Linked DNA regions of Ovis aries. The protein of the gene in region 5 interacts with the protein of the main gene of each other region in a pairwise test. Links are inferred from orthologs where the notes say so. Each region holds a gene or a part of one and is shown on either strand. Other genes may lie near its edges. The genes, in order: TSSK1B, SORBS2, NCK2, ABI2, EFS, OSTF1 and SH2D3C.

Region 1 (4,232 bases), on a different chromosome or scaffold from region 5:
CCCTCCTGCACAGGTGCCGGCTCCAGTTTCTCCCAAGACCACCCCGCAGCCAGTCACCCCGCCGCCCCAGAAGCATCACTGGCCCCTCCAACTCCAACTGAGTGAGGGGTGCCCTGGCTGCCGAGGGAACCCGGGGGAGGAGGTGGGGCGCTCGGCGGCAGATGGCGAGGGGCAGCGAGGTGCAGCGCGCCCGGGCCGGGAGCCCGCTTGGGGCCTGCACCCAGCCGTGCTCCCCGACCTGCTGGGGACAAGCAGTCCCGACAGCACCCACGAAATGGGCCCCTTCCTCCACTAAACAGGGTCAAGAACCTCACTCTGCAACCGCGTCGATACAAAAACGAACGCATTTATGCGTGCGCGTTACAGCATCGGGCTCCTTCCCGCTGAGTTTAGAACCCCTGCAACCCACCGGGGCACGGCGGGCCCCGGCCTTCTGCGCCGGACGGGAGCCCTGCGTTCGGGCTCTTGATTTCTCGCGGACAGAGGTGGGGGGGGGGTGCACATCGGAAACAAGAGGTAAGGCTCGAGCGGGACCTTCTGCGGCCCGGACCCCAGCTCCCGACCCGGGCTCTCCTCGGAGGACGCCCGCCTCGGCGGCGCCTCACGCGTCCGAGGGACCCGGGCGGCCAGGGCTTCCAGGCGCCCGGGCCGAGCCCGCCGGCCGCCCCCCGGCGCGCACCTGGCCGCAGCGGCTCGGTGACCGTGAGCACCAGCAGGAAGAGCAGCAGGAACGCGCCGCTGTCCGCCTTGGGCACCATTTATCCTCCGTTCATCGTCCCCGGGGCGGCCGCGCAGGCCGGGCCGAGGGCTCGGGCCGGGCCGGGGCCGGGCCAGGCGAGGGCGCCGCGGGGAGAGGGCTCCGGGGGGCCGCGGGCGGGCGCGCGCTTTCGGCCGCCGCCTCGGGCTCCGACTCCGGCTCCGCGCAAGATGGCGGCCGTCCTGCTCGGCCCGCACCGCCCCGCCCCCGCCCGCGCCGCCGCCAGCCAATCAGCGCCGGGCGGAGGCGGGGCATGCGCATTCCGCCTGCGCAGTGACTGAGAGGGGCGCGGCCCAAGGGCGGGGCGGGGGCGGGCCCGCCGGGGCGGGACTACGGGGAGCCGCGGGCCCCATTGGCTGACCAGAGAAGGGCGGGGATCGGGGGCGGGGCCTCCTGGGGGCCTGCCGGAGCAGGAGCTGCGGAGGGGCGGGAGCGGCGCGGGGGCGCGGCTCCGAGGGAGCCCCCGGGCGGGGGCGGAGTTGGGAATCCCTGAGAAGGGCCCTTGCAAGAGTGCGTCCCAAAGTGGCGCTTTAAAGGCCGAACCGCTGCGGTGAGGGGAGAGGAGACCTGGAGAACCTCCGAGGTGGCCCCGGGAGGCGCTTCCGCAGGTGCCGCTTCACCGGCGCGTGCAACTGGAGTGCTGCATACCGACGAGCAAGCAGGCTCGAGGAGGGTCCCGCGCGGAGAGCCGACTGGGACGCCCGGTCCCCTGGAGGGGGGCCCCCTGCACAGTGGGGACCGAGCGGGGCCGGGGGGAGACGCTGGCTCAGCTGCCGCCACAGCAGGCTCTTCCGCACGGAGGGAAGCGTTGGCCGCGCACCTGTCACCGCGGGAGGGGACCCAGCAGATGGAGTACCAGCGAGGGAGGAGCAAGCCCTCCGAAGGACAGACCACCGGCCACCACGCGCAGCAGGCCCGGCCTGGGCGTCAGGGTGGTTAGAGGGTGAAGATGGGAGCGGAGAAAAGAGGGAGGGGAGAGGCGGGGATGGGCGGTGCACCCAGACCGTCAGCAGCTGGCTCCCCAGGAGCAGTCACCCCAAGCCCCTCAGGGCATGATCCTCCTGAGCACCCCAGGATCCCAGCCTGGGACATTCAGGGTCATCTGAGAGAGGCACCGGACTGACCCCAAGGCTCTGCCAGGCCTGCCTGCTCCTGCCCTCCCGCACCATCCCGCCCTCCCCTACAGCAAGGCCCAGAGCAGAGAGGACCCACTCCTGGCAGGAAGCGTGGTTCCCATTCAACACTGCCCTGTTTGCCTGTCCTCAGAGGGCATTTCCGGGAGCAGCTGCTGCTCTCAGAGGAGTCCAGACCCACCTTCTCCCCCACCCCCAGACCTGCCCTTGGAGCCCAGCCAGGGCTACGACAGGGCAGGCCCCCGGGAGGGGCCTCACAGCCAAGGGCAGAGACCCGGTCAGCTGTCCCCAGCAGAGCTGGCCAGAGAAGGTTCAGAGGAGAGCAGCACGGGGCAGTGAAAAGTCCAACCAGACCACGCAGCAGGAAGGCGGAGGGGACCCTTCCTGCCCCAGCCCCCTTCTCAGTCCACCTGCCTGTGTGGACACCGCGGAGGATTTCCAGGGCCACAGGGAGCAGGAGGAGGTCAGGGAGGTTTTCTCCAGCCCCTTTCCTGGGGCAGATGACCTAGGTCACCGCCTTGGTCAAGGTGGCCCTCCGGGCACCACTGTCCCCGGGTTCCAGAAACGACCGTCCCTTCATCCAAGGGCCCATCACCCACTCGGGGTTCTGGACACGGCTCCATGTGGGGGTGGGGAGATCATCCTCTTGTTAAACCCTCGCAGGCAGTCCTCACTTGAGCGTCTCCCGTTTGCTGCTGAGACCTAGATGGTTGGGACGGTTGCCCGGACTTCCAGGGATGCCCTGGGGTGCAGGAAGTCAGCCCATCGCCCCCCTGCCCCCAGCAGCCCCCCTGCCCCAGCAGCCCCCCTGCCCCCAGCAGTCCTGGCTCTGGTGTGGAGGCTTGGGCGAGCCGACACAAGCCGACGCAGTCCCCGCGGCCCCTCCTACCTCGGCCCCCGCGCTCCGCGGGCGTCCGTCTGCTGCAGGGTTCCAAGGTCGAGCGGCTCAGGCTGGAGACCCATTCCGCAGGGCACTTCTTCTTTATGACTTCACCCACTGAAGTCACCCGGGAAACAGTGCCGAACGTTCCACCCCAGAGTCTTGGCCTCTAGGAGGCAGGGACGGGAGGCCCGGGCATCCCAGAGGACTCTGCCCACAGTGTAGATGAGGACGCGCTGGCTCATGTCCCGCAGGGATGTAGAGGGCAGCCTCAGGGGCACTGGGCGCTCCCGGCACCATGGATGACGCTGCCGTCCTCAAGCGACGAGGCTACATCATGGGGATCAATTTGGGAGAGGGCTCCTATGCCAAGGTCAAGTCCGCCTACTCCGAGCGCCTCAAGTTCAACGTGGCGGTCAAGATCATCGACCGCAGGAGAGCCCCCACCGACTTCCTGGAGAAGTTCCTGCCCCGGGAGATCGAGATCCTGGCCATGCTCAACCACCGCTCCATCATCAAGACCTACGAGATCTTCGAGACGTCCGACGGCAAGGTCTACATCGTGATGGAGCTCGGCGTGCAGGGCGACCTCCTCGAGTTCATCAAGACCCGCGGGGCCCTGCAGGAGGACGATGCGCGCAAGAAGTTCCACCAGCTGTCCTCGGCCGTCAAGTACTGCCACGACCTGGACGTCGTCCACCGCGACCTCAAGTGCGAGAACCTCCTCCTCGACAAGGACTTCAACATCAAGCTGTCCGACTTCGGATTCTCCAAGCGCTGCCTGCGGGACGACAGTGGCCGGCTGACGCTGAGCAAGACCTTCTGCGGGTCGGCGGCGTACGCGGCCCCCGAGGTGCTGCAGGGCATCCCCTACCAGCCCAAGGTGTACGACATCTGGAGCCTGGGCGTGATCCTCTACATCATGGTCTGCGGCTCCATGCCGTACGACGACTCCAACATCAAGAAGATGCTGCGCGTCCAGAAGGAGCACCGCGTCAACTTCCCGCGCTCCAAGCACCTGACGGGCGAGTGCAAGGACCTCATCTACCGCATGCTGCAGCCGGACGTCACCCGGCGCCTGCACATCGACGAGGTCCTCAGCCACTGCTGGGTGCAGCCCAAGGCCCGGGGCCTGTCCTCCGCAGCCGTCAACAAGGAGGGCGAGGGCTCCCGGGCCGCCGAGCCCCCGTGGACCCCCGAACCCAGCTCCGACAAGAAGTCCGCCACCAAGCTGGAGCCCCGGGAAGAGGCACGGCCGGAGCCCCGGACTGAGCCCAGCCCCGAGGAGGAGACTGCGACGGTGCAGGTGTCCCAGCAGTCAGAGGCCGTGGGTCTGCCCAGCGAGCAACCCAGCAAGACCGAGGAGGGGGCGCCCCCGCAGCCTTCAGAGACACATGCCTAGCCCACCTGTTGCGGCCCAGGCGGCCGGCAGGGAATGAGGCCGAGCTCAGGGCCCCGAGCC
Region 2 (3,514 bases), on a different chromosome or scaffold from region 5:
ATTGCATTGCAACGGATGTAGTAATGATCTCATTTTGGTTTGAAAAAAAATATCTTTATATCTATATATTTGTACCTGTTTGTTCATGTGGATGTGAGCATAGAAAATGTTAGAAAAACAATCATTTCCCAAACTCATAAGGATTTGTCAGAAGTAAATGAGGGTAAATGAAGAAAATAAATGGACAGGTTTATCATAGTACTGACAAAGACAGTAGCCATTCAGTAAGTTAACTTGAATTTAATTAATACATTTAATTCTTGCAAGCCACTTGAACCCACTTGAAAGGGGCTATAAGAATTAAAATCAACATAGCTTTAAAGAAAAGTATCTAATATAGCATATCATAAAGAAATTTAAGTAAAACCCAAGAATAGAGACTATGAGGTAGGGGGTACTGCAAACACAGCTACATAAAAATAATAATGTTTGAATCATAAGGGTGGAAAGGACCGCTTAAGGACATGAAGTCCAGTCCCCGACACCAAGCCAGGAAGGCCCTAACAACTTCTCTGACGTGTTTGCTACCTTCTGCAGCATACAGGGCGTGCTTGTTGTAAGAGGGAAGAGCAGTTAAAGTTCTTGGTTCTCAAAGACTATTTTCACGCACAGAACAGCCAGGGAACATTAAATCCATCCCATTTACTCATTCTTAAATTTTCAAAGAAGCAATGACCACCCACTAAAGAATACTAAAAATTAAAGGCTCTGATCCCTAGAATTCTAGCTGGGTTTTTTTTTTTTCACAAGTGAATGGTCATAAGTGTTCAAAATATTAGACAAAACCATTTTCTCCAAGCATCTGCCAAGTTATTTACCTGGCCAATTCTTTAAAAAATAACCAAAAAGCTCTATTCTCTTTACTTGACATGTGTCTAGGATGCTTCTTATTATCCACTCCAAATCACACCTGCCCTCCCTTTCCTAAGCTTTCCTGGCAGGGGTGAAATAAAAACAGAGCTATGGTGAACAGTGTCCATGTGGGATGCTGTATGATTTTCAGTTCCTCTGAAGAACTATAATATTAGTAAAGCAGCAAATTGGCACTCAGCGTTTTATATATCTAAAATTAGGTTTATGTTAAAGAAACTGAAATATTTGTACACCTAAGGAATCCTAAAGGACCACTCACTTAAAAGTAAATTTGAATCATTAACGTCCAGGACCTGGACAGAAGATTAGGCTGAATGATCTCTAAGATCCTTTCCAAAATTAAGGCGTTATGATTCTAGGTGAAGCTGGCCCCGTGGTTATCATAGAACCAAGCAATACCAACTGAGTACCTAAAATTGTGCATAATTTATAGGAGATTCTTGAAAGTATAATTCCAAATAAAACTGAGAGTAAATATGTCATCAGGCTGCTTTCCAGCTGTATTATCAAAAGCAATTTATTAGTACTGAAATGCTTACTGCAAGACAGTAGAATACTTGAAACAGCTTTTTCATTGTTGAATATAAAATCACTCTTAAATGGCAATAAGAAGAAAATTCAAAGTCTAAGAGTGATTTGAAAATATCACATAATATGGCAGTGTATTTTACACTTTCTTAAAGTACAGAAGAATTAAAGCTACAAAAAATTGATGGCATTGAAATCTAAGGATCTGGTGGTTTGATTCACTGTTAGGAGAACCATTCATTGTTTACCAAACTTTTGATCCTTCAAACTGATATTTAAAAACTCATATATTCACCTTAAGCAGTAATAAGATAAAATTGAATTCTTGCAGTAATACTGAGGGGAAGATAAGTGTTTGATATATGTTTTAATTATATATCATATTTAATTAATTCTAATCTAATTGAAGTAAAAACAAATGCACAAATTTCCATTAGTATATTTTATATACCCAGAGTTTTAGAACTGAGATAATGTTTGCCCCAAAACCAAAATGTACATGGTTTTTTGCTAAATGATCTTTACTGCATTGTTCATTTTACCAGAGAACTAATTTTGACATTTCTTTTTCTTTTAGGGCGTGATTCTCAGTCACCAGACTCAGGTACCAAAACACTATTCTGAATGACTACTACATTTGTTGTGGGTTTTTTAAAAAAACATATTCATAGCCACATTGTTACTCTTATAGTAAACTTAAATTGCATACACAGTTACACATTTTAACGTCTAAAAAGAAAATTTCAATTTTGGAAATGAAAATAAATTTTATTTTAAAAATATGTTAAAAGTGAATGTAGATATTTTTGTATCCGATTTGTTTTCTCTTAATAAAAGCTTGGAGATGTTACAATGATCGAAATCAAGAGACACTGAATGGAGATGCTACATGTTCCTCTCTTGCAGCAAAAGGTTTTAGAAGCGTTCGACCAAATCTACAAGAAAAAAAATCACCAACTCAGGTAATCCTGCACACTGCTGTCTACTGTGTTAATTTAAACCACCGCTCTAGGGTCTCTTTTCTAGTAACACGCATGTTTTGATATGTTTTATTCTTAATATGTTGCTTTTATATTTGTATTGACTTGTATTTAAAACATGGAAGACAAGTCTTAAGTTCAAAACAGGTTATTGATTTTTCTTTTTTTCTGATTCAGCTGATAAAAGCACATCAGTTTCTGATATAGCATATAATTTTCAGGATATTTTCTAATTCTTAGAAAAACAGCTAGTTGATGATTTGGATTTCAAAGTTATGAGGCCAGCAATATATTTACTGAATAAATATGAGTTATTAGTAAAACTGTCACAGGCATGAAACGTGTTACCAAAACAATGTGAGTAAATACTGTATATGTATCTCAAGGTCTGAAAATATACCAAGAGAAAATATTTTCACTTTTAACCTAATTTCCCAGAAAGTAGATGGAGACAAACTTGATAGTATATTCTCCATAAAACTATTTTCCCCCAGAAGGCAACTATTGACAATAAATTAAAATGCATTCTAAATGAAATAAACGTGATCATTCAACCTGGCCAACAAAATGTATAGCATAATAAGAAGGTATGACATTGCTTTACTTTCTTTAAGGGTAGAGTTAACACTGGTTTCTTTAATGATTAACTTTGACTTTCTCTCTGTTTTTCCTTCAACATTATTTCTTTCTCTGGATGCTTTTGGTAACCCAGGCACCCCTTCCACCACCCAGAAAAGAGAGCTTTTGTAGCTCCTTGATAACCAATCATACAAAGGGTGACATTTTAGACCAATCAGTAACTAACACACAAATTCCATCTCGTACAGAGTTCTTTACTAACAAAACACCGCTCCAGGGAACTATGTATTCTAATGATGATTCTAGCCAGACAATTGTATATTCTGAAGAATCTAACACAACCGTGTCATATACACAAAAAATCACTAATCCACTACCACCACCTTCCAGCACAGGTCCCCCACCAAAAGCTGATATGAGTACCCCATTTCTCCAAGAGGACTACACCCAAGATTCTCAAACTCGGAGAATTTCCACACTGAAACTAATCCATAACCAGGATCCAGGAAGCATCATTACCTTTAGTCCTCCGCAGTTTCCCAAATCTGTTGAAG
Region 3 (4,057 bases), on a different chromosome or scaffold from region 5:
GCTCCCTAAGGCTGTAGGTTTGAAAGTTAACCCCCGAAAATCAGACCGGAAATATACAAAAAAATGATTGAGCCTCTCTAAAAAAGAAAGGTACATATTAATGAAAACAAATGGGCCAATATTGTTTTGGGTATATAACTGTTGGAGGTTAGAACATGCCAGATAAGGACAAACATGGATAAGTTAGAAAGGTAGTGATGTTAGATAAATGAACAGATAGATGACTGCATTTTAGGAAACAGCAGAAATGCAATGTGCACAGAAAACTGCACCAGATAAAGACTGAGAAAGAGATGTTGGGTTTCAGACAGAGAATGTCCTTGGTGAGTTTACAAAGACCCAGAGAAGGAAGAGGAGTTCAACTCTCCATTCAGTGAAGGTTACAAAGCAGAGGAGTAGCAAAAAACTGGGTCAATATTGTTATACCTATTTTGAGTAAACTAATTTAGAACTGGGCCAGACCATTTACTATAAACTCTGCTTTCCTTCTTAGGAAGACAAAGTTTTCACAAAACAACAGACTGAGGAAGCTTCTTTCTCAAGGATGTAGAACAGGTGGCTGTCTCTGACACCCTGACCTTGGACTGATGGTGGCTCAGTGCCCTGATCCCCTCCAGCCACTGACCACTGAGTGCTTCCTACTGCCTGGAAGTATGCCAGGGACTTCCAGAGGAGCTGGGCAAATATTATCTCCATGTTGGATAGATTTTAGATAGGGTAAGAAACTCTTGTTCCACAGTTGAAGAACCAGACAGTCAAACACTCAACTGGGACTTCAAAGATATACTGGCTCCAGGACCCTCCTTGGGTACTTGTGTTGGGAAAGAGGCATTCATTCAGTGACATCATCTTGTCACCTGGGGTAAACTACGATTGCTTTAATATAATGAGAGGCCAGGAGCCTAAGGAAGACCCTCATTAACATGGATCCGGCCTATTCCACCAGGATATCAGAATCATTTGAATAGTAGGATTTCCTTTGGGGAAGCCACGTGGGGGGAGATTGATGACAGACATCTGGATACATGTGCCTGTTTAAGGAACCCTGTGTCTTGCCCCTCCTCTTGGGTTTCAGTCTTCCAAGTGTGTTTACAGGTAAGCATGTGGCCAGGCGGCCCGACGGTCCCACCACCAGTGACAACTCCTGGGACCTACATTCCTGCAGTTCCACCCAGGATTTCGCCCTGTGGGCGGGTTTGAGCTGGACACAGAGGGAGGAACAGACATTGTGGTTTCCTCTTCTGCTTTTAAGAACTGCTTCCGACGATAACGAGGGAGTCAAAAAGTGTCTGGTTGGGAAAGTAAATAGATACGAGGCAAATAAATAAAAATGCCCAGAAGCAACTACACGGAGGAAGTGACATTTTTCTGTAAGTCACTTTTCTGATGGACCGCAGGCCTGCTCCGCCGAGGGTGCCGTGGGAAGGCTTCCGGGAGAGGGGGCGGTGGCCAAGCCCCAGCGCGTCCTGATAAGAAAATCAAACAAAAAGGGGATGGACAGACCACCCGTCGGTCCTTCGAGGCCGGGCTGCTGCTGCTCTCGCCTCTCCCGTCTTCCTATTCGCTCCCGGACGCGCAGGGTCGGAGCTGGGCCTCCCCTCCCCTCGGCGCCCGGCCCGGCCCGGCCCCGCGCAGGGTCCTCCGGGCCGGGCGGCGCCCGCGTTTGAGCCTCGAGCCAGCCCCGGCGCCGCCCGAGCCGGGCCGCCGTGCGCGCCCAGGTGGGTCCCGGGCGGCGGGCGCGCGGGCCTGGGCGGCCCCGGCGGCGTCACTGGGCGGAGCGGAGGAGGACGAGGAGGAGGAGGAAGGGCGCGCGGCGGGCGCAGCCGGGAGGGGCGGGGGCGCCGCGGCGGGAGCGAGGCCGGAGCCGAGCGGGCCGGCGGGCGCTGGGCTCGGCGGCGGGGGTCGGCCGGGCCCGCGGGGTCCGCCCGGGCCGGAGCGTCGGCCGAGCGGCGGGAGGAGCGAGCGGCGCAGACAAAGAGCGGCGCCTGGGCGGGCGCAGGGCGGCCGCCGCCCGGGACCCGCGCCGCTGCCCCGGCCTCGGCGCGCGGCGCGCGAGGTAAGCGGGGGCCGGGGGCTGGGGCCCGAGGGTCGGGGCTCAGGGGCTGGGGCCCGGGCGGAGGCCGTCAACTTGGGCGGCTCGCGGAGTTGCGGGGCAGCCGGGGCGGGGCGCGCCGGGGCCGGAGCCGGGGCTGGGGGCCCGGTCGCTTGCGCGGCCTGGCCTCGCGGCTGCGGGCACCTCCGGCTCGCCCCCTCCCCGGGTCGGGCGGGCGGGGCAGGCCTGCGCGGTGGTCCCGGAGCGGGGACCGGGGAGGCCGGGCGCGCCGCCGGCGAGGACCGCGTGGATCGCCGGCCCCGCGCAGGCAGGACCGGGAGGCGAGCGCGGCCCGCACAACTTCTGGGATCGGGACTGTTGGCGACCCCGCGCGGAGCTGCTGTCACTTGGCGTCCGGGAGGTTTCCCGCGGCCCCTAGGCGCTTCGTGCCGGGCTCCGCGTCCGACCGGGGATCGCCGGCCCCGGAAACAAAGTTTCTCACGATCGCGCTGCCCTGGTAGCTTATTCTGGGCGATCGAACCACCCAGCGGTTCTGGAAGAATTCGGTGTGTGATTGTAGGCGTAGACGGTAACTCCCTCGTGAGCGCATTCGGCGTGGAGCGAGTGGGGGGCGTGATTGCAAAGCGCTTTCGTGTGTGGACCGTGGCGGTCGCCCTGAAAGGGCTGCGCGTGTGCCGGGGCTCTGGGCTCACTGGCAGCTCGTCCGCGTGGGGACAAAGCTGGAGCCGGCGCGGGGCGACCTCTGGCACTCAGGCTAGGTCGGGTCCCCTGTGTTTGCCTTTGTTTATTTTGCCAACAGGTTTGGGGCTGAGCCTGGCAAGTTTGGGTATGCGCAGGGGATGAGCAGGCCTCAGCGCTGGGCCCGCGCAGGCCCACTCCTGCCCTTGACCCCAAAGAAAGTGAACCCCGAGAGGCTACGGGGTGTGGCCTGGGGTGGGAACCCCGAGGTAGCAGAGTCCCGCCTGGTCCCTGCCCGGCTTCCTCCTCGGCTTCGCCAAAGGGATTTAGTAGGAATGAGAGTAATTTGAGGCGTGTTTTGTCCCTCTGCATCAGGTATCGTTGGCAACAGGGCTTTTCAAGGCTAAAAGAGACTGAAAATGAAATCACTCTGGTGCTTTGAGTTATCACAGCGGACCTAAACTTTATTTCCAAACACTACCCGTAATTCACTTACCGGGTGTCCCCAGATATTAATAAACGGGTAAATTAATAACAGGAATCGAGCCTGGGCCAAGGGTTTAGTAAATAGGAGGGCAGTGGTGCACAGGAGATGAAGTGGGTTCAACTGCGAGACTGAGCTGTCCATGTAGGTTTTTAGGTGGTCGGAACAGGGGTTTCCCCAGATGTGAGTGTTAACCATGATTCTGAAGCAGTGACCGGGAGGGAAAATCCTACATTGATGTTTCTCCTCTCCAGGTTGATTAGATGTAGTGTTAATTGAGGGAGAATGCAAATGGCAACCCACTCCAATACTCTTGCCTGGAGAATCCCAGGGACAGAGGAGCCTGGTGGCCTGCCGTCTCTGGGGTTGCACAGAGTCAGACACGACTGAAGCAACTTAGCAGCAGCAGCAGCAGCAGCAGCATTGACTGAACAAAGTTGCCAGATTTTAGCGGTCCTCTGGCTGCAGCTAGCTGAGGCTGAAATTGGAAACTTAAAGCGGTGGTAAGCTGGTGGTACCAAAGAGGCCTCATCTGGGCTTCAAGCTTCTCAGCTGCTCCCTAGACACGCTGCGGGATTGCTCCTGGAACATGGGATGAAGTCGGGTGGTGAATTGCGTCCAGAGAACAGACTGACCCAGTACCTTCTCTCCCCACTTAATGTGGGGCCTGATTAAGGTGATTTCAAGTAGCTGTGCTCACTTGTCAGACTTTGAGGTTTTCTTTATCACATGCCTTGCACTTCAGGTCTCTTCATCCCTCCTCTCTTGGAAGCTGTGATGTTTCCCAGCCTCTGTTGTTTGCATCAAGCGATGACTGAGATTTTCCAGCAAATGCATCATAT
Region 4 (3,514 bases), on a different chromosome or scaffold from region 5:
TAGGCTAGTCTTGTGATGTAGGATTTAGTTTATAAGTTCTCGCTCTACAAATTAATGTTTTTCAAGTGTGTGGATTTAAATTTTATAATCATTGTGCTTTATTAAAACATTATTTTGTTTATGGAGGGAGTCAAAGTTATTAAGATATTTTGAGGTCACATTTTTTTTCCACATTTGAGTCCAAAATACTATGTTGGGGGAATCTAGAGAAAAGGAATTGAAGCGAAGAAATAGAAGTTTAGTCAGGTCAAAGATGAGATGACATGTATATAGGAATGGTTGGTGTCAAGAGTTGTTGTTACGGGTTGTCTGGTAGAATGGATAAAGACCAGTAGATATTAGATATCTGAGGTATTTTCTAAACCCTGCTGTAGTTTCCTAAGATGTAGGCAGTCTTTTAGAGTAGACAACTAGAAATGTGTAACCAAACTATTTTGGCTTTCTAAATGTAGAAATACGCTGTTAAGAATTATGTTTTAAAATATGCCTTCAAGTTTAATGAGAATTAACATAAGAAACAACAAAGAACATTTTTCTCACATTTCCTTCAACTAGTTCCTTTAAGAGTTCAGTGCTGGGCAAATGGTCACTTTCCTAATGAAGGGGTATGCATTTCCTTGTAACTCATTTCTGTTTTGCCTTCTCTAGGAATCTAAACTAAGAGCCTAATTTTATGCCCCATTATAGCAGCTATCCATTATTTAGGATTATTTATGAAAGTTCTTTGATCATTTCTTTTGCCACATTGGTTTTCCTTTTATGCTGCTTGTAATGGTTTATATAGCTTTGGGCTGTGTGTTTATGTGTACATAAAGAGAATAGATAAGTAATATGTGAGTGCCTACAGTCCCTAGGTATAATCTAATTGTTTTCATTCTTTTTAGAGCCTCAGTTTTTTCAAAGAATGTAAAATACATGTTTGTTACAAAATATAACTATATATTAGTGCAAATAATAAGTGAAATGTTACCCCCCTCTTCATTCTCCGGAGACATATTGATATTTCTAGCAGGAAAATTTGAAATTGAAGTTCCAGTGTGCCTCAAACTTAGAATTCTGTTATCATTGGTTAGGTTTACATTCTTATATTTTCATTTCTGGGTGAGATAATTATATTTTTAAAAACTAAGCAGAATGAAAACAATGTTGAAAGATTACATTCTCTAATAAATTTTCTTTATTGATATGATAGAGACCAGTTATATACAAAAAATAAGGGTCATATTTTGTGTTTTTAGTTTATTTTGAAGTATACTTGACAAATATAAAATTTTCCCAGCTCATATTTTTAATAATTTCAGAATTATTCTTTAGAAATTATTCAAAGTAAATGTGGTTAATTTCTATTTTTTCTGAATTTAAAAATAACTAAATCCCAATATTGTCACTTATACACAAACTTCTTTCTTCTATTATAGCTCCCCCAACCAATGTAAAAGGAAAGCAGATTTTATAACTTATCTAATGTGCACAGAAAAAGTTCAAAGCCTATTTTGGTCTTAAAATGAAATACTTATAATGCTAAGGTCTCTCCTACCTTTGCCAATATTTGATCTGATGCTTCACTTAGGTATTTATTAGTTATGCACTCAAAGAGTCTGTTGCCTTTAAAATCTCTTGGTTGAAGGTAAGAGGCTTCAAATTTGTTTCAGGTTTCCTTTAGACTTTATGTAGTTTAGAAGGATAAGTAATCAGTGTTCAGATTTCCTAAAGTTGTATTTAATATTGTCATAATGTCCTAATATGACATAATAATGTCATAATATTGTCTTTTATTTTCATTTCTGTGTTACTACCTGGCTATTCTTTAAGAAAGGGTAAATTGAAGTAGGTTTGGGGAAGAATCAGCAATAATTCCTGCTTAAGCCATGAATGGTGGCAAGAGATGTGAACAGTTTAGTGAAGTATGTTTGAAACTTTTAAAATTGAAACCCACAGTTAAACATATATCTTATATTCCATCCGTACACACTTTAATGTATGTATTTATGTACATAACAAATATTTTAAGAAAAAAGTACCTTACAGTGTGTATGTTGTCTGATAGTTCTGTTCTTTTTGATTTAAAGTAATTGCTGCTCATTATCTCACTAAATTGCAACTTGCAGTTTGAAACATGCTGTTTTAGTGTATTAATTGCCTGTGCTTATGGAGAAATTCACCCTCTATTAGCAAATGGAAAATAGAGTAAAAACACATTGTTATGTACTAAATTATAGCCTGTTTTGAGCATTTAATAAAATAATGAAAATATTTTACTAGCATTTTGTCATGATAAAATATAAGCAACTTTACCTCAGCACACTTGTTTCTTTGTAAAAGATGACTTATATTAACATTGTATTTATATTTTAGGCCTTTTTAAATAAAAAGCTATTTAAACACTAAAAGAAGTTATACTAATAGGTTATCTTTAAATGTTACCAGATTAATTGCTGGTACTTTCTTAATTAGGCTAAATCTTAATAGAGAAGGAGAAAATTAGCATGCTTTAACCTGGAGGTTGGTAAGCTTTTCCTGTAAAGGGTCAACTAATGAATGTTTTATGCTTTGCAGGTCATAAGGTCTCTGTTGCAGCGTTTACCTCTGCCATTGTTTTGTGAAAGTATTTAAGCAGGTCGAATGACTGGTATTGCAGTAAAATTGTTTATGGAAACTGATACTTGAATTCCATATAATCACGTCAAGATCTTATTTTTCTTTTGACTTCTTTTAACCATTGAAAAATGTAAACACCACTCTTGGTTTTTCGGCTGTAAAAAGATGGGTGATGGGCCAGATCTGTTTTGTCTGCCAGGATTTCCCAACTCTTTTAGCCTGAAAATGGGGAAAGTCAGTATTGGTCCCAAAAGGAGAAATTCGTAATTGCAGTTAAGAATATGAATAATGATGTTAAATCTACGTATTTATGTTTTTATTTTCTGGCTATCAGGGCTATACATTTTTGTGTTTATGTTTTGTAGACCGTTGATATTCATAAAGAGAAAGTTGCAAGAAGAGAAATTGGTATTTTGACTACCAATAAAAACACTTCAAGGACACATAAGATTATTGCTCCAGCCAACCTTGAACGACCAGTTCGATATATTAGAAAACCTATCGACTATACAATTCTAGATGATATTGGACATGGAGTAAAGGTAAGCATAAGTTCTGTCAAACATTAAAAAAAAAAAAAAAAAAAAAGCCCATGATGGAATTAACTCTTTAGAAAATTAAATGCTTATCTTTTCTTTCCAGAGGATCATTCTTGGCCTAGTTGTAGTTCTGAAGATTTCTTACCACTAATAACTGTGTTATCTTTCTTTTTAATGCTGGGTTCTCAAGTTTTAAACAGTCGTCTTTGAGTGAATTGCATTTGCTTAACCAGTTATGAATATACCTCATGTACATCTGGAAATAAATGTAGTATTATATTTTAAATCCTTTAATGATTTAATGTGACTAATTAAATACTATTCAGTATGTTAGTAAAGTATTTGCTTTATCTCAAAAATATCAGCAAATTTCTGGC
Region 5 (3,514 bases):
GAAGGCGCTGGTGGGCTGGATGGCTGGTGCCTCTGCTCCCTGCATGGCCAGCAGGGCATCGTGCCTGCCAACAGAGTGAAGCTCCTTCCCGCTGGCCCAGCACCCAAGCCTGGCCTCTCCCAGGTGCCCCCAACCCAGCCAGGCTCACCACATCCGGCCCCGGAGCATGGCAGTGAGGACCAGGAGGTAAGCACTGGAGCCCCCCAACCCTGATTCTGGACAACCTATTCCTCTCTGCTGCTTCAGGAGGGACAGAAAGAGCCCTGAGACCCCCAGCCCTGCACTGACCCTGCTGTTCAAATCCTGTCTGCCAAGTCTTTCTGGGCTCTTTCTCCACTGGCACAGGGAGGGGGTTGGAAGGTGTCTAAGCTCCTCCCAGGCGCACACTATGATTCCCTGCTCCCCACTCTACCTGACCCTCCTGCCTGTCGATCCCCCAGTTGTACGTGGTGCCACCCCCAGCTCGACTCTGTCCTACCTCGAGACCTCCAACTGGACCCTGCCCACCCTCCCCTGACCCCATCTACAAGGTCCCCAGAGGCGGTGGGACCCAACTGGCTGCCCCTGGAGCTGCCTTGGAGGTGAGGGCTAGGGGTTCATGTGTCTGTTGGACAGGGGACAGATGGCTCTCGGAGATGGCTTAGGGGAGTGGGGGGCCCACTGCCGAGCCTGAAAGTAACTAACTTCTCCCTCTGCAGGTCTACGACGTACCCCCCACTGCCCTCCGAGTTCCCTCCAATGGCCCCTATGACTCCCCGGCCTCCTTTGCCCGCCCTCTGGCTCAGGTTGCCCCCCAGTCCCTTGGAGAGGATGAAGCTCCCTATGACGTGCCTCTGGCCCCAAAGTCACCATCAGACCTGGAGTTAGATCTGGAGTGGGAGGGGGGCCGGGAACCAGGGCCCCCCCTCTATGCTGCCCCCTCCAACCTGAAACGAGCATCAGCCCTGCTCAATCTGTACGAAGCACCAGAGGAACTGCTGGCAGATGGGGAAGGCGGGGGCGCTGACGAGGGCATCTATGACGTCCCCCTGCTGGGGCCGGAGACACCCCCTTCTCCAGAGCCCCTGGGAGCTTCGGCCTCCAGTGACATGGACACCCTGGCCCTCCTTCTGGCCAGAAGCCCCCCAGCCCCACACAGACCCCGGCTGCCCTCAGCCGAGAGTCTGTCCCGTCGCCCCCTGCCTGCCTTGCCTGTGCCGGAGGCCCCCAGCCCTTCCCCGGCTCCTTCTCCTGCTCCAGGCCGGAAGGGCAGCATCCAGGACAGGCCCCTGCCCCCACCCCCACCGCGCCTGCCTGGCTACGGGGGCCCCAAGGTGGAGGGGGATCCGGAGGGCAGGGAGGTGGAGGACCACCCGGCAGGACACCACAACGAGTACGAGGGCATCCCAGTGGCTGAGGAGTACGACTACGTCCACCTGAAGGTGAGCTTGCCTCAGTCAGCACCCACAGAATGCCTCCAGGAGAATGGGGGTCAAGACCTGAGGTCCCAGAGGCAGACCCTGGCTTCCTCCATTCCCTTCTTCCCCTCCGCTGACCCTGCACCCTGTAGCCTGTGACCCCTGTACTGGGCCACATCATTTGTATCAGTGCCGCAACCCAACCTGGGGTCCCCAAGCTCTCTGACCTGCCACTAGGGCTCTCCCAGACCCAGAGTCAGGAGGCTGTGGATCCGATGGGAGGAGAGACCTTCAGGAGGAAGTGGGAGTGGGGAGGAGTGGGAAGACCACGGGGGCTGCCTTGCCCTGCTCCCCTACCCCTGCACTGAGGCCCTTATCCCCTACCGCAGGGCATGGATAAAGTTCAGGAAGCCAGGCCTCCAGATAAGGCCTCCCCAGGGGATCCTGAACAGCTGGAGAGGGGGCCGCCAGAGCAGCAGGTAACCCGGTGCGGTTGGTGCTAGAGAAGGGGGCAGGGGAGGAGGAGCAGGAACCTGGAAGAAGGGGTATTCTTAACTGAGGCATCGAGGGAAGTCTATTTAGGAGAGGGTAAGAGTTCAATGAAACAGGACAGTTGGGGTGGAGAGGAGTTAGAATCCAGAAAGGAGCTGGAACTTCGAAAAGGATATCAGGAATTCAGAAAGAGAGGAAAGAATGTGTTGGAGAGGAGTCAGAAAACCGAGCATTCGGGGGGGGACAGAGTTTCTGGGCCGGGTGACTTCTGAGGCTCCTTCCAACTGTGAATTCCTGGGTTCCTAAGAGACCTGGGTCTTAATTCCAGCTCCACCACTAAGAAGCCAGGGCCTCCGAAGCCACCAGTTAATCTCTCTGGGTCTCAAGGAAATGAGACTGTCTCCTCGACTCATGGTCTAGAATGGTCCTAATCGCCATAGCTACCATCTGTCACGTTTGTACCAAGCGCCAGAACCTGTGCTAAGTACATTGCACCTGTCAGCACTGATCATAGCAATAGTTAGCACTCATACGGTGCTTACAGTTTGCAGTGCTGTGTTCTCAGCTCTTTTTGTGAAGATCAGCTAATCTTCACTGCAGCCTTAGGAGGCAGAAACAAGAACTGCAGGATCCAGTGTGGTAACCACACGCCACATGCAGCTACTCATCCCCAAGTGTGACCAGTCCGAACTGAAATGCACTGTAAATATAAAATGCACACCAGATTTTGCAGACTTAGTATGGAAAGCAATTTCAATAATTTTTACATTAATTACAGTGTTGAAACTACACCATTTTTAATATATGGAATTACAAAATAGGTACCAATTTCTTTGTAACTTTTCTAACGTGGCTACTTGGAAATTTGAAATAGCATATGTGGTTGGCATTATGTTTACATTGGACAGTGCAGTACTAGGCTCCCCGTAGATAAAGAAGATAAAGGAAGATAAAGAAGATAAAGGAGATAAAGGAATGATGACGTTCAGAGACTTGTTTCTGAGGTTGTTTGAATCCAGATTTATCAAACATCAATTCTGGGCATCTTCCTGTCACTCGCTAAGAGAATCTAAGTTGTCTGATAGGAGAAGGTACAGTTTAAAGGGGTCGAGCTCAGGGAGAAAGGAAGGCATGAGGAACAAAGGGAGGGAAGGAGAAAGGAAATAAGAACGGAAGTGGCACTGGCCAAGCAGTCCTGCTGAACCCTCTTCTCGCCCTTAGGAGGCCCTGTCCCCTGGGGAGCCACTGGTTCTGCCCACTGGAGATCTACAGCTCCTGCACTTCTACGCTGGGCAGTGCCGGGGCCACTACTCAACACTGCAGGCGGCCGTGGCGGCCCTGATGTCCAGCACCCAGGCAAAGCAGCCCCCGCGCCTCTTTGTGCCCCACGGCAAGCGGGTGCTGGTGGCCGCCCACCGCCTGGTGTTCGTTGGGGATACCCTGGGCCGCCTGGCAGCCTCTGCCCCTCTGCGAGCACAGGTTGGGGCCGCGGGCACAGCACTGGGCCAGGCATTGCGGGCCACCGTGCTGGCCATCAAGGGGGCCGCCCTGGGCTACCCATCCAGCCCTGCAGCCCAAGAGATGGCGCAGTGTGTGGCAGACCTGGCAGGGAGGGCCCTGCAATT
Region 6 (4,300 bases), on a different chromosome or scaffold from region 5:
CCCACTTGTGTTTCTTGTAGAGATGTCCAGTTCACGGCAATACTTAAAGAGAACCCACCCATGAGAAGTTCATTTCAGATCTCACTACCACTGTAATAACTCTTCTCAGAGCAAGTAATACATTTTAATTTTATGAACACTGAGAATCTTAGTAATTGATCTGTTCTCTCTCTCTGCTTGAAGCAAAGAGCCAAATCTACAGGCCTTCTTTAGAAACTTTGCAAGTTCTTACAACATGCATGTCTGTAAGATAACTTTCTCTCCAGTTTCCTCTTGTTATTCTTCCCTCCTTCTATAGGACCCCACTTCCTGCATCTTTTTTTTTTTAATCAAGTCTCATTCAGGATGAGGCAGGGGTGCAAACAAACCAAGAAGCTAAGAATTAAATACACCCTGCCTTCCAATTCCAAGTTTGCTTTTGACATTTTCACCCATCTATCTTGCCTACAGGACAAGAAAGTCTGACTGAGGACCAGAGACACTCTCCTTCCCACTTCCTGCCTACCAGGAAGTACACATGATGACAGGAGTTAATGGTAGGCTTTGATGTAAAGCACAGTAACATCACAGTTAAGAGCTCAGACTCTGGGGCCAAACTGCCTGGGTTCTAATTCTGCCCACTCCTCTCCACTCAGTGGCTAATCTTGGGCACCTTAACTTGACCTTTCTTGACTTAGCTTCATTTCCGCATCTGTGAAATGGGAACAATGCAGGTACTGACCTCATAGGGTTATTGTGAGAGGTAAATGAGATAATACACGGAACGTGCTTAGATCAGTGCCTGGCACACTGTAAACGAGAGCCAGGACTATAATAGTCCCCTTCTGTTTTCAACTAAGCCAGGCCACACAAAGTTTCAAGTTGGATTAAAAGTAATATTTCTCACTGTAAATAGGTCACTGACAGATTATTTCTAGGGTGATCTTATTTTAGTTTGGATCTCATTTACAAATCAATGTGGAGTCTGAATAGTAGTCATTTTTTAACCATTTGCTTTCTGATTTACTGAATAGAAGGAGAAAGCAGGAAGGTCAGACAACAAAAATGGTTCCTGAGAGTGTATTTCCAACTGGTCACAGTGTGATCCCTACACCCAGGCAAATACACAAAAACATATCACATCCGTGCCCCTCCAGCTGTAGCACAGACATCACCGAATGTCTAGAGATGAAAAACCTCATGAATGGCTTCTCAGGACCTTCTCTGAAATAAAGTACTCTGTTCAGTTATCAAAGAATAACTCTGTTGTGTTGATTACTTGAGGTCCTGATTTATACTTAAGTTTTAAAAGCTGCCATTTTCCACAAAGGCACTTAGAAGGCAAATTCCTCATCAGACTCCATTTCTAAAGAAACACAGAGCCCAATCCTAGCCATGTCCCACCTTCGCAAACACCAGAGCCAAAGTCCCAGCAAAGTCACACCCCAGTCCACCAAAATTCAGGTTCTGGGTGACTGACTATGTCACATATGCGAGTGTGTACAGAATTTTCAAATAAAATGACTTGGAACTACCACTGCATGATGGTGAAGAAAGAGAACTGGATGAAAGTTGAACAGCTTGACTAAAGTTTAGAAAAATCAAGAAAAAAATCAATCACTGAAACGACTCTCTCAATCAAGGTTACTTTGAAACTGGATGTAAATAGATTTCAGATTTCAGATTTCAGCCTGTAACATACTGAAGTTACCTAAGACCAGGAAGAAAAAAGCTGAGAGTATGTCAGAGCCATTTCTCGTCCATTTTCTACGTTTTCTGTAATCACCTACCCAATGAAGGTATGAGTTTCTTACAGTATCGAACTGAAATGCCTCAGTCCCTTTTAAATTCTTTCTCCCTGTCCCAGAAAATATTCTAGGGATCGAAGAAGAAATGAACAAGGAACATTCGCCAAAAGACCTGCTTTGAGGAAATCTCACCCTTTCCAGTTTAACTCGACAAACTCACAGAGGGAGTAAAGCAAAGGACTTGTTCAGCACTATAAAGTGACATTTCCGAATAGAAATAACTGAGATTACGCTGCCGCAGCCTAGATTTTTCTAGTCAGGAGCTCAACTACAGTTTCCTAAACGCTTTTCCCAAGATCTTAAGGTCAATTTGCTGCTCCTCTCTAAAGTCCCAAAGGAGACTCGCTCACCCACCCCACCCTATAAGCAGCGCACTTCCCGTTCGCTTTGGCCGGTCAAGAACTCAAACTTGACAGTGACACACAGTGAAGGAAAAAAAAAAAAAGAGGAAGTGGATGAAGAAAAAACCATTTCAAGACTTTTTTCTCCCCCCTAAGGGAGATCAATGGCCCTGTTTTCCAGGAAAACGTCAATGGGACGTAGCCATCACATCGATGGGAAAGCTGCAGCGAATGGCAACGCTGAAAAACCGAGGGTGACTCCTCTTTAAAAATGAAAATTTTCAAATTCCTCGAAAATCTTGCGATCTGTCTCCTGGAGCGAACGCAACAAATCCCACCCTGGTGCGTGGATCGCGAAAGTGAGGCTCGGGGCCGGGTACGTGCCTGACCTGCCCTGCCAAGGGGGCAGAGGGAGCGCGGGGCACCGCTACCGGCCCGGGATCCCCCGAGCACCTCCCTTACCTGGTTTGACTGGTTTGGGTGGCGGCTTCGACATCTCTCTTCCTGGAGCGGCTGATTCTGAAGACCACGCACGGAAAGTCAACCAAACGTGCCTCCAGCCGACACTCTGAGCGCCTCAGTTTCTTTTTGTCTGCTTTGCAGCGGTGCGCCTCCAGGGACCGGTGTCTACTCTCGGCAGCCGGACAAACCGAGGCAGGCAAGGCGGCTCAGCGAAGTGCCCCGCCCCGCCCCGCCCCGTGGCCGACCGAGCTGTCCGGGGCGCGCGGCCCCGCAGACGAGGAAGTGGCCGCCGCCTAGCCGAGTGCTAATTGGCTCCCCTGCTGCCCGCTCCGCCGCGGCAGGAGCGCGGGCGGCGCGCACGGCGGCGCGCCGGGAGGCAGAACCAGACGGAGCCGGACCGGGAAGCCGCAGGCTCGCGCCGGGGCCGCCCTGGCCGCGCGCACCCTGGTCGGGAAAGGGCCGGACAGGGCAGGATCGCGCGCGCAGGCGCGAGGCCACGCACGCCAGAGGCCCGCCCCGCCCAACGCCGGCCAGAGCCTGCTGCCGCGTCCGCTCCAGGTGGTACGGAACCTAGGTTGGCCTTCTCTACCCTGGGCAGCCTCTGACCCGGAAGGGGAGCGGGGAAAGAGGCTGTGCGCCTCTTGGTTAACGAGCTTCAGGGGTTGCGGCGGGTTAGTGACAGGCGCGCGCGTAGCGATCGCCTGTGCCGCTTTGCTCGGGAGCAGTCGAACGAACTAGCGCCCGGTGAGTAGTACCTGCCTGACTCCGCGCTCCCCGCCACGCAGACTCGCTGGGGCCTGGAGGTGTTTCCAGAGTGTTCCTGCGCTGGAGCCTGAGCCTGGCCGTGTCTTGCAAGCTCTGTCAGGATATCTACCACCCTAAATAAACTGATAAGTGGCCTGCCCAGGAGAAAGTGTTGTCCTAATGGGGTACTACTCTCACGCCCCCTAATAATCCTTAAAATGGGAATCGGTCTTCTGGAGACCATACAGGTTTTGGGGAGAAGTCACTGGGGTAGGGGTGAGGTCTTGATCCCTATCGGAGGAGGCAATCTTCCTCCTTTAGAGTTGAGAGTGACTGACGGAGGCCCTCGTTGTTGCCTGTTACTGTATAGCCTAAGAATGATTTTCATGTTTTTTTTTTTTTAGGATGGATTAAAAGAAATCAAAAGAAGTAGAGTTTGTGGTACGTGGGAATTATATGAAATTCAAATTTCAATGTCCGTAAAGTTTATTAGAACACAGCCACGCTCATTTGCTTCTGTATTGCCTGTGGCCACTTTCACTTCCTAACAGCAGAGTTGAGCAGCTGCCCACGAAACCCAAAACATTTACGGTCTAGAACTTAGCAGAGCAAGTTTGCCCACCCCAGACCTAGCAGGTTGAATCTCCACTGGGAGGCAGGGGCTAGAACAGACAAGAAACGCAGCGGGTGAAAATTTAGAATAGTATAGGCAATATGATAAATCACTTGTATAGAGGGGGGGAGATAAAAATTGAGAAGAAAACCCTTTGCATGAGAGTCTAGGTAAAATGAAGCTTCGAAGTCTACTAGGAATTAAGTGAAACAGTGATTACAAGACAAAGGGGCAAGGGTTGTGTATTCGGACAGGCAAGCCTTGGTGTTTACCAAAAGGGAGCAAAGTTTAAAAAAAAAAAAAATAGTAGAAAAAGACTTCCCTGTCACATAGAAAGTAATCAAAATGTTGAA
Region 7 (4,101 bases), on a different chromosome or scaffold from region 5:
GCTCTAAGTGTGCACGCTAGGACCTCAGACTCCATGGCTGGACAGGCAGGTCCCAATTCCAGGTCACTTGATTTCGGGGCAGGGCCTCAGTTTCCACATCTGTACAATGAGGACAAGAAAAACAGTATTTGCCTCCTTAGGGCAGAAGAACTGAGCCCTTTGGCTGGCCCGTACTAGGTGATCAGAAAACGTTAGTCATTAGTAGTCATTATTTTTATGGAGGATGTACAAGGGGCCCCACCTGACCTTGAACTTCTCCTTTCACACCCCAGTGGGCCAGCCCTGGGGCCAGGATGATAATGTCCGATCATGAGAGAGCCCCCGTGGGTTGACTGTGTACCTTATGCTCGTGCCTATTCTAGAAATTAGGTGTCCAAGTCAGAGGCAGAAGTAATTCTGCACTCAGAGACAGGATCTGAAGCCCCTGGTCTTTCAGGTGCCCCCCAGCAGTTGCTGGAATCTTCCGCAGGTGTCAGGGACAACCTGTGTAGGGGAGGTTTCATTTCCTCATCTCTGTCCTGTACACACACACACACACACACATACACACACACACACACACACACACGGGGATGCATGGTAGAAAAACACCAGGCTGAGGGTTAGGGGCCTGAAAGGGCAGGGTGTTGCTCAGTCTGTGCTATCGACTTGCTGTGTGACCTGGGGGCCTTCTGCCTGCCTGTGTCTCGGTTTTCCTATCCTGTCCTTGTACAGCGGGGTGGTGGACTAAATTATCGCCATGTCCCTGCCAGCTTGAAAAGGACTGACCATGCCTTGAGGGCACTGATTCTGTGCCAGGCTTTTCACCGTGAGGTGGACATTGCAAATACCGCTCGCTCACAGAGACAAAACTAAGGCTCAGGGAGGGACTTGTCCAGGATCACACGGTGACAGAGGGGGGCAGCTAAGACTTGAATTTGGCTGGCCTCAGGGCTCGCGGGCCAAACCATGGCACTCCCCTCGCCACCACCGCCAGCACATCCTGCAGCACTGAGGCTTAGAATAAACCCCTCTGCCCACAGGCCTGACTCCCTGCACCCTCCCAGCCCGCTGGCCAGACCCCCCGACAGCGGTTGTCAGGTCCCTGGAGGCCCCCAGCCCAGTAGGCTCTGTTCCCAGAGCCTGCGGTTTCTTTCCCAGACCTTCTAGATCTCACGCGCTTGTGGTCTGCCCCCTGCCTCCCCCCGCTGCCGAAGCCAAGGAGGAGGCCCACAGGGGCTGGGACTTGAGGGGGGGCGCCCTGCCTCCGCCCCCTATGGAGAGGATGGGGAGGGTGGGGCTGTGAGAGTTTCACTGGTTTAAAAATACACAGAGGAAGCTAGTGAGAGGGCGCGAGAAAGGGGAAGGGGAGGTGAGAGAGGCATCCCAGCATTGATGTCCAGAGCTTCAAGTGGCCACTTGCCTTTCGGTCAGGGGCTCTGCACGACTTGCCAAGATGACGGAGGGGACCAAGAAGCCCAGCAAGAAGTTCAGTGAGTGTGGGGTGCCGTTTGTCCGTCTCAGCCTCTCTGCATCCGCTTCTCCCCATTCTATCTTGTTCCTGTTTCTCTTTCTGTCCATCTCTGGCTCTCTCTGGAGGACTCTGATTCTGAGTTTCCATGGTGCTGTCTCTCCATCCCTCTGGCCTAATCTCTCTCTCCAGCTGATTTGGCTCTCCATCTCTGTTTCTCTCTTGTCTGTCTCTGTCTGTCGCTATTCCTCCGTCTCTCCCCACCCAACTGTCAGTCTCTCCATTCGTCTGTGTGTCCCCTGGCTCCCTTTGACCTCCAGGCTGGGCCAGGGAAGACCTCCACGCATTCCATTGCCTGCCTCTGTACTGGTTCACATGGGGGTCTCAGGTTGGGAGTTGCTGGGGCTGGGGTGGGGGGAGGGGTGTGTGCCATGGGTAATGCCCCATGACCCCACCAGCAGTGATGCTGGGACCCAGAGCAACTAAATGAGGGGCCACACTCACCCTTCACTTTCTTCCCCAGGTTGCTGATTCCTTCCTGGTCCCAGCAAACTTTGGCTCCCTCTGATTCTTTTTTTTTTTTTTTTTTAAGATTTAGATATGGATTTAGCTGTGTTGGGTCTTAATTATCGCACTCGGGATCTTCAATCTTCATTGTGGCATGCAAGATCTTTTTAGTTACAGAATGTGGGATTTAGTTCGTTGACCAGGGATCGAATCCCAGGCCCCCTGTATTGAGAGCACAGAGTCTTAGCCACCGGACCACAGGGAGGGCCCCCTATGATGCTTTGGATCTGACAGCACATGAGGGGAGTGTACAAGGCAAAGATTATGACTGTATTCCACAGACGAAAGACCCAGAGACTTGCCTGAAGTCATATAGGGTTACGGAGCAGGGCTCAGTCTCACGTCCCTGGACCCTGGACTTCAGTTTCCCTCCCTGCCCACTACTGCTTCCTCCAGACCCCCGGTGCCCGGGAGACAAAACAAGAGGTCTGGAGAAAGGAGGCGATTTGCTCGTTGGCGTAGCTTTCTAAGAGCAGAGCCTCAGCATCTGCTGACAGCGCTTGTCAGGAGGCAGAGGCTATAACTGAGGGTGGGGTGGGGGTGGGCAGGCCCGGGAGGAAAGCCCCAGAGCCCTGACCCCAGCACTCCAGAGCCCCAGGCCCTCGGCCAGGCTCTGCTTGGCTTTCTGACCCTGGGCAAATTCCTGCCCCTCTCTGGGCCTCAGTTTCCTCTCCGTCAAATGGGGCCATCCCACCTATGTTCCACCATGGTCGTGAGGATCTGACGAGGTGGAGGATGCCAAGGAAGTGGGAAATGCCAGGGTGTTTTCGTTTTTGCTTATGGAGGGGCCGTGGTGAAGTCCGGCAGAAGGTGGTGGCTAGGAGGAGGGGCAGTCCCACAGCTGAGAGCAGGCAGGAGGGCGGGCGCTCAGGCGCACCCCTGCGGAAACGCGGAGATGGTATCACCCGAGCACTGCCGCCTGAGTCCCCACTAGGGCTCAGCTGACAGGAAGGAGAGAACCGCAGGGAGTGGGACCCTCAGGGACCCGACAGCCCCCTTTTCATTTCATCCGCACCTCAGGGGCACCTCAGAGCCTCGTTCAAACACCCACTCCACACACCACCCCCCCCGACCCTGACACGCACACACACACACACACACACACACACGCACACACGCACACACACACACATGTGCTCTCATGTCACCGATCTGAACCTCAGTTTCTTCATCTGGAAAATGGGGGATTAAACTTGTGTCATGGAGTTGTGCTGAGAATTCAGGGAAGTAATTAATGAAGGTGGCATGTTTGACAAATGCAAAGGCCTTTATGTGATCGTCATCACCATCTTTCTTCATTACTTCTGACGGCTATGAAGCATGTTATTTACATGCTGAGTTCATGCCTTTCTTCAGTTCTTCCACTGTCAGAGGACAGTGGTCCCCAACCTTTTTGGCACCAGGGACCAATTTCGTGGAAGACAGTGTTTCCACCATCTGGGGATGGTGGGGGGGATGGTTTGGGGATGATTCAGGTGCATTAGACTTAATTGTGCACTTTATTTCTAGTCTAATACCATTGCTGATCTGCCAGGATGTACTGGTCCACAGCCCAGAGGTTGCCCCTGCCCCTGCCATGGGGGATGAATACTATAATCTCTATCTTACTGATGTGGGTGAATGGGACTCAGAGAGGTCAAGTGACTTGTCTAAGGTCACAAAGCTAGGATGTGGAATTCAAAGGCTATGGGATCCCAGTGGTGCCATATTATACCGTAACTCCTAGAGGGGGTGTCAGTGAAGCTCCCAACCCTCCTTGAACCCTCAGTAAGTGGAACTGCACAAATGTTTCATTGTTTTTATTATTACTGCTGGCAATGTCATTAACTCCTTTCCCTCCCCTCCCCCCTTCTAGAGTTCTTCAAGTTCAAGGGGTTTGGGAGTCTCTCCAACCTTCCTCGGTCCTTTACTCTGAAACGATCTTTGGCCCCCAACAGTATCCGGCCCCAGGTGGAGGCTGACACCTTTGATGCCACACAGGATGACATGGTGACAGTCCCCAAGAGCCCCGCAGCCTATGCCCGCTCCAGCGACATGTACAGCCACATGGGCACCATGCCTCGCCCCAGCATCAAGAAGGCTCA

Evidence for each region.
Region 1: the proteins of EFS (region 5) and TSSK1B interact in binary tests that used the Homo sapiens proteins (3 or more experiments, as listed by UniProt). The two-hybrid records come from large-scale screens. The link is inferred for Ovis aries from reciprocal best matches to the Homo sapiens genes EFS and TSSK1B.
Region 2: the proteins of EFS (region 5) and SORBS2 interact in binary tests that used the Homo sapiens proteins (3 or more experiments, as listed by UniProt). The two-hybrid records come from large-scale screens. The link is inferred for Ovis aries from reciprocal best matches to the Homo sapiens genes EFS and SORBS2.
Region 3: the proteins of EFS (region 5) and NCK2 interact in a two-hybrid assay, tested with the Homo sapiens proteins (2 studies listed by BioGRID and IntAct). The two-hybrid records come from large-scale screens. The link is inferred for Ovis aries from reciprocal best matches to the Homo sapiens genes EFS and NCK2.
Region 4: the proteins of EFS (region 5) and ABI2 interact in binary tests that used the Homo sapiens proteins (3 or more experiments, as listed by UniProt). The link is inferred for Ovis aries from reciprocal best matches to the Homo sapiens genes EFS and ABI2.
Region 6: the proteins of EFS (region 5) and OSTF1 interact in binary tests that used the Homo sapiens proteins (3 or more experiments, as listed by UniProt). The two-hybrid records come from large-scale screens. The link is inferred for Ovis aries from reciprocal best matches to the Homo sapiens genes EFS and OSTF1.
Region 7: the proteins of EFS (region 5) and SH2D3C interact in a two-hybrid assay, tested with the Homo sapiens proteins (2 studies listed by BioGRID and IntAct). The two-hybrid records come from large-scale screens. The link is inferred for Ovis aries from reciprocal best matches to the Homo sapiens genes EFS and SH2D3C.

What each region holds. Positions count from the first base shown.
Region 1 is NC_056070.1:72,619,538-72,623,769, forward strand, and holds TSSK1B (testis-specific serine/threonine-protein kinase 1), read left to right. Parts: upstream 1-1,426; 5' UTR 1,427-3,068; coding exon 3,069-4,172; 3' UTR 4,173-4,205; downstream 4,206-4,232. Other genes in the region: DGCR2 (integral membrane protein DGCR2/IDD), read right to left, coding at 680-758. UniProt on the Homo sapiens protein: Testis-specific serine/threonine-protein kinase required during spermatid development. Phosphorylates 'Ser-288' of TSKS. Involved in the late stages of spermatogenesis, during the reconstruction of the cytoplasm.
Region 2 is NC_056079.1:15,069,818-15,073,331, reverse strand, and holds part of SORBS2 (sorbin and SH3 domain-containing protein 2), read left to right. Parts: intron 1-1,978; coding exon 1,979-2,005; intron 2,006-2,238; coding exon of another isoform or gene 2,239-2,307; coding exon 2,308-2,363; intron 2,364-3,093; coding exon 3,094-3,514. UniProt on the Homo sapiens protein: Adapter protein that plays a role in the assembling of signaling complexes, being a link between ABL kinases and actin cytoskeleton. Can form complex with ABL1 and CBL, thus promoting ubiquitination and degradation of ABL1.
Region 3 is NC_056056.1:60,725,252-60,729,308, forward strand, and holds the start of NCK2 (cytoplasmic protein NCK2), read left to right. Parts: upstream 1-1,249; 5' UTR 1,250-1,370; intron 1,371-1,499; exon of another isoform or gene 1,500-1,718; intron 1,719-1,848; exon of another isoform or gene 1,849-2,056; intron 2,057-4,057. UniProt on the Homo sapiens protein: Adapter protein which associates with tyrosine-phosphorylated growth factor receptors or their cellular substrates. Maintains low levels of EIF2S1 phosphorylation by promoting its dephosphorylation by PP1.
Region 4 is NC_056055.1:205,385,162-205,388,675, forward strand, and holds part of ABI2 (abl interactor 2), read left to right. Parts: intron 1-2,963; coding exon 2,964-3,140; intron 3,141-3,514. UniProt on the Homo sapiens protein: Regulator of actin cytoskeleton dynamics underlying cell motility and adhesion. Functions as a component of the WAVE complex, which activates actin nucleating machinery Arp2/3 to drive lamellipodia formation.
Region 5 is NC_056060.1:21,376,002-21,379,515, forward strand, and holds part of EFS (embryonal Fyn-associated substrate), read left to right. Parts: coding exon 1-186; intron 187-440; coding exon 441-581; intron 582-698; coding exon 699-1,421; intron 1,422-1,786; coding exon 1,787-1,876; intron 1,877-3,110; coding exon 3,111-3,514. UniProt on the Homo sapiens protein: Docking protein which plays a central coordinating role for tyrosine-kinase-based signaling related to cell adhesion. May serve as an activator of SRC and a downstream effector. Interacts with the SH3 domain of FYN and with CRK, SRC, and YES.
Region 6 is NC_056055.1:61,718,048-61,722,347, forward strand, and holds the start of OSTF1 (osteoclast-stimulating factor 1), read right to left. Parts: upstream 2,812-4,300; 5' UTR 2,625-2,811; coding exon 2,591-2,624; intron 1-2,590.
Region 7 is NC_056056.1:8,439,458-8,443,558, forward strand, and holds the start of SH2D3C (SH2 domain-containing protein 3C), read left to right. Parts: upstream 1-1,300; 5' UTR 1,301-1,435; coding exon 1,436-1,472; intron 1,473-3,872; coding exon 3,873-4,101. UniProt on the Homo sapiens protein: Acts as an adapter protein that mediates cell signaling pathways involved in cellular functions such as cell adhesion and migration, tissue organization, and the regulation of the immune response.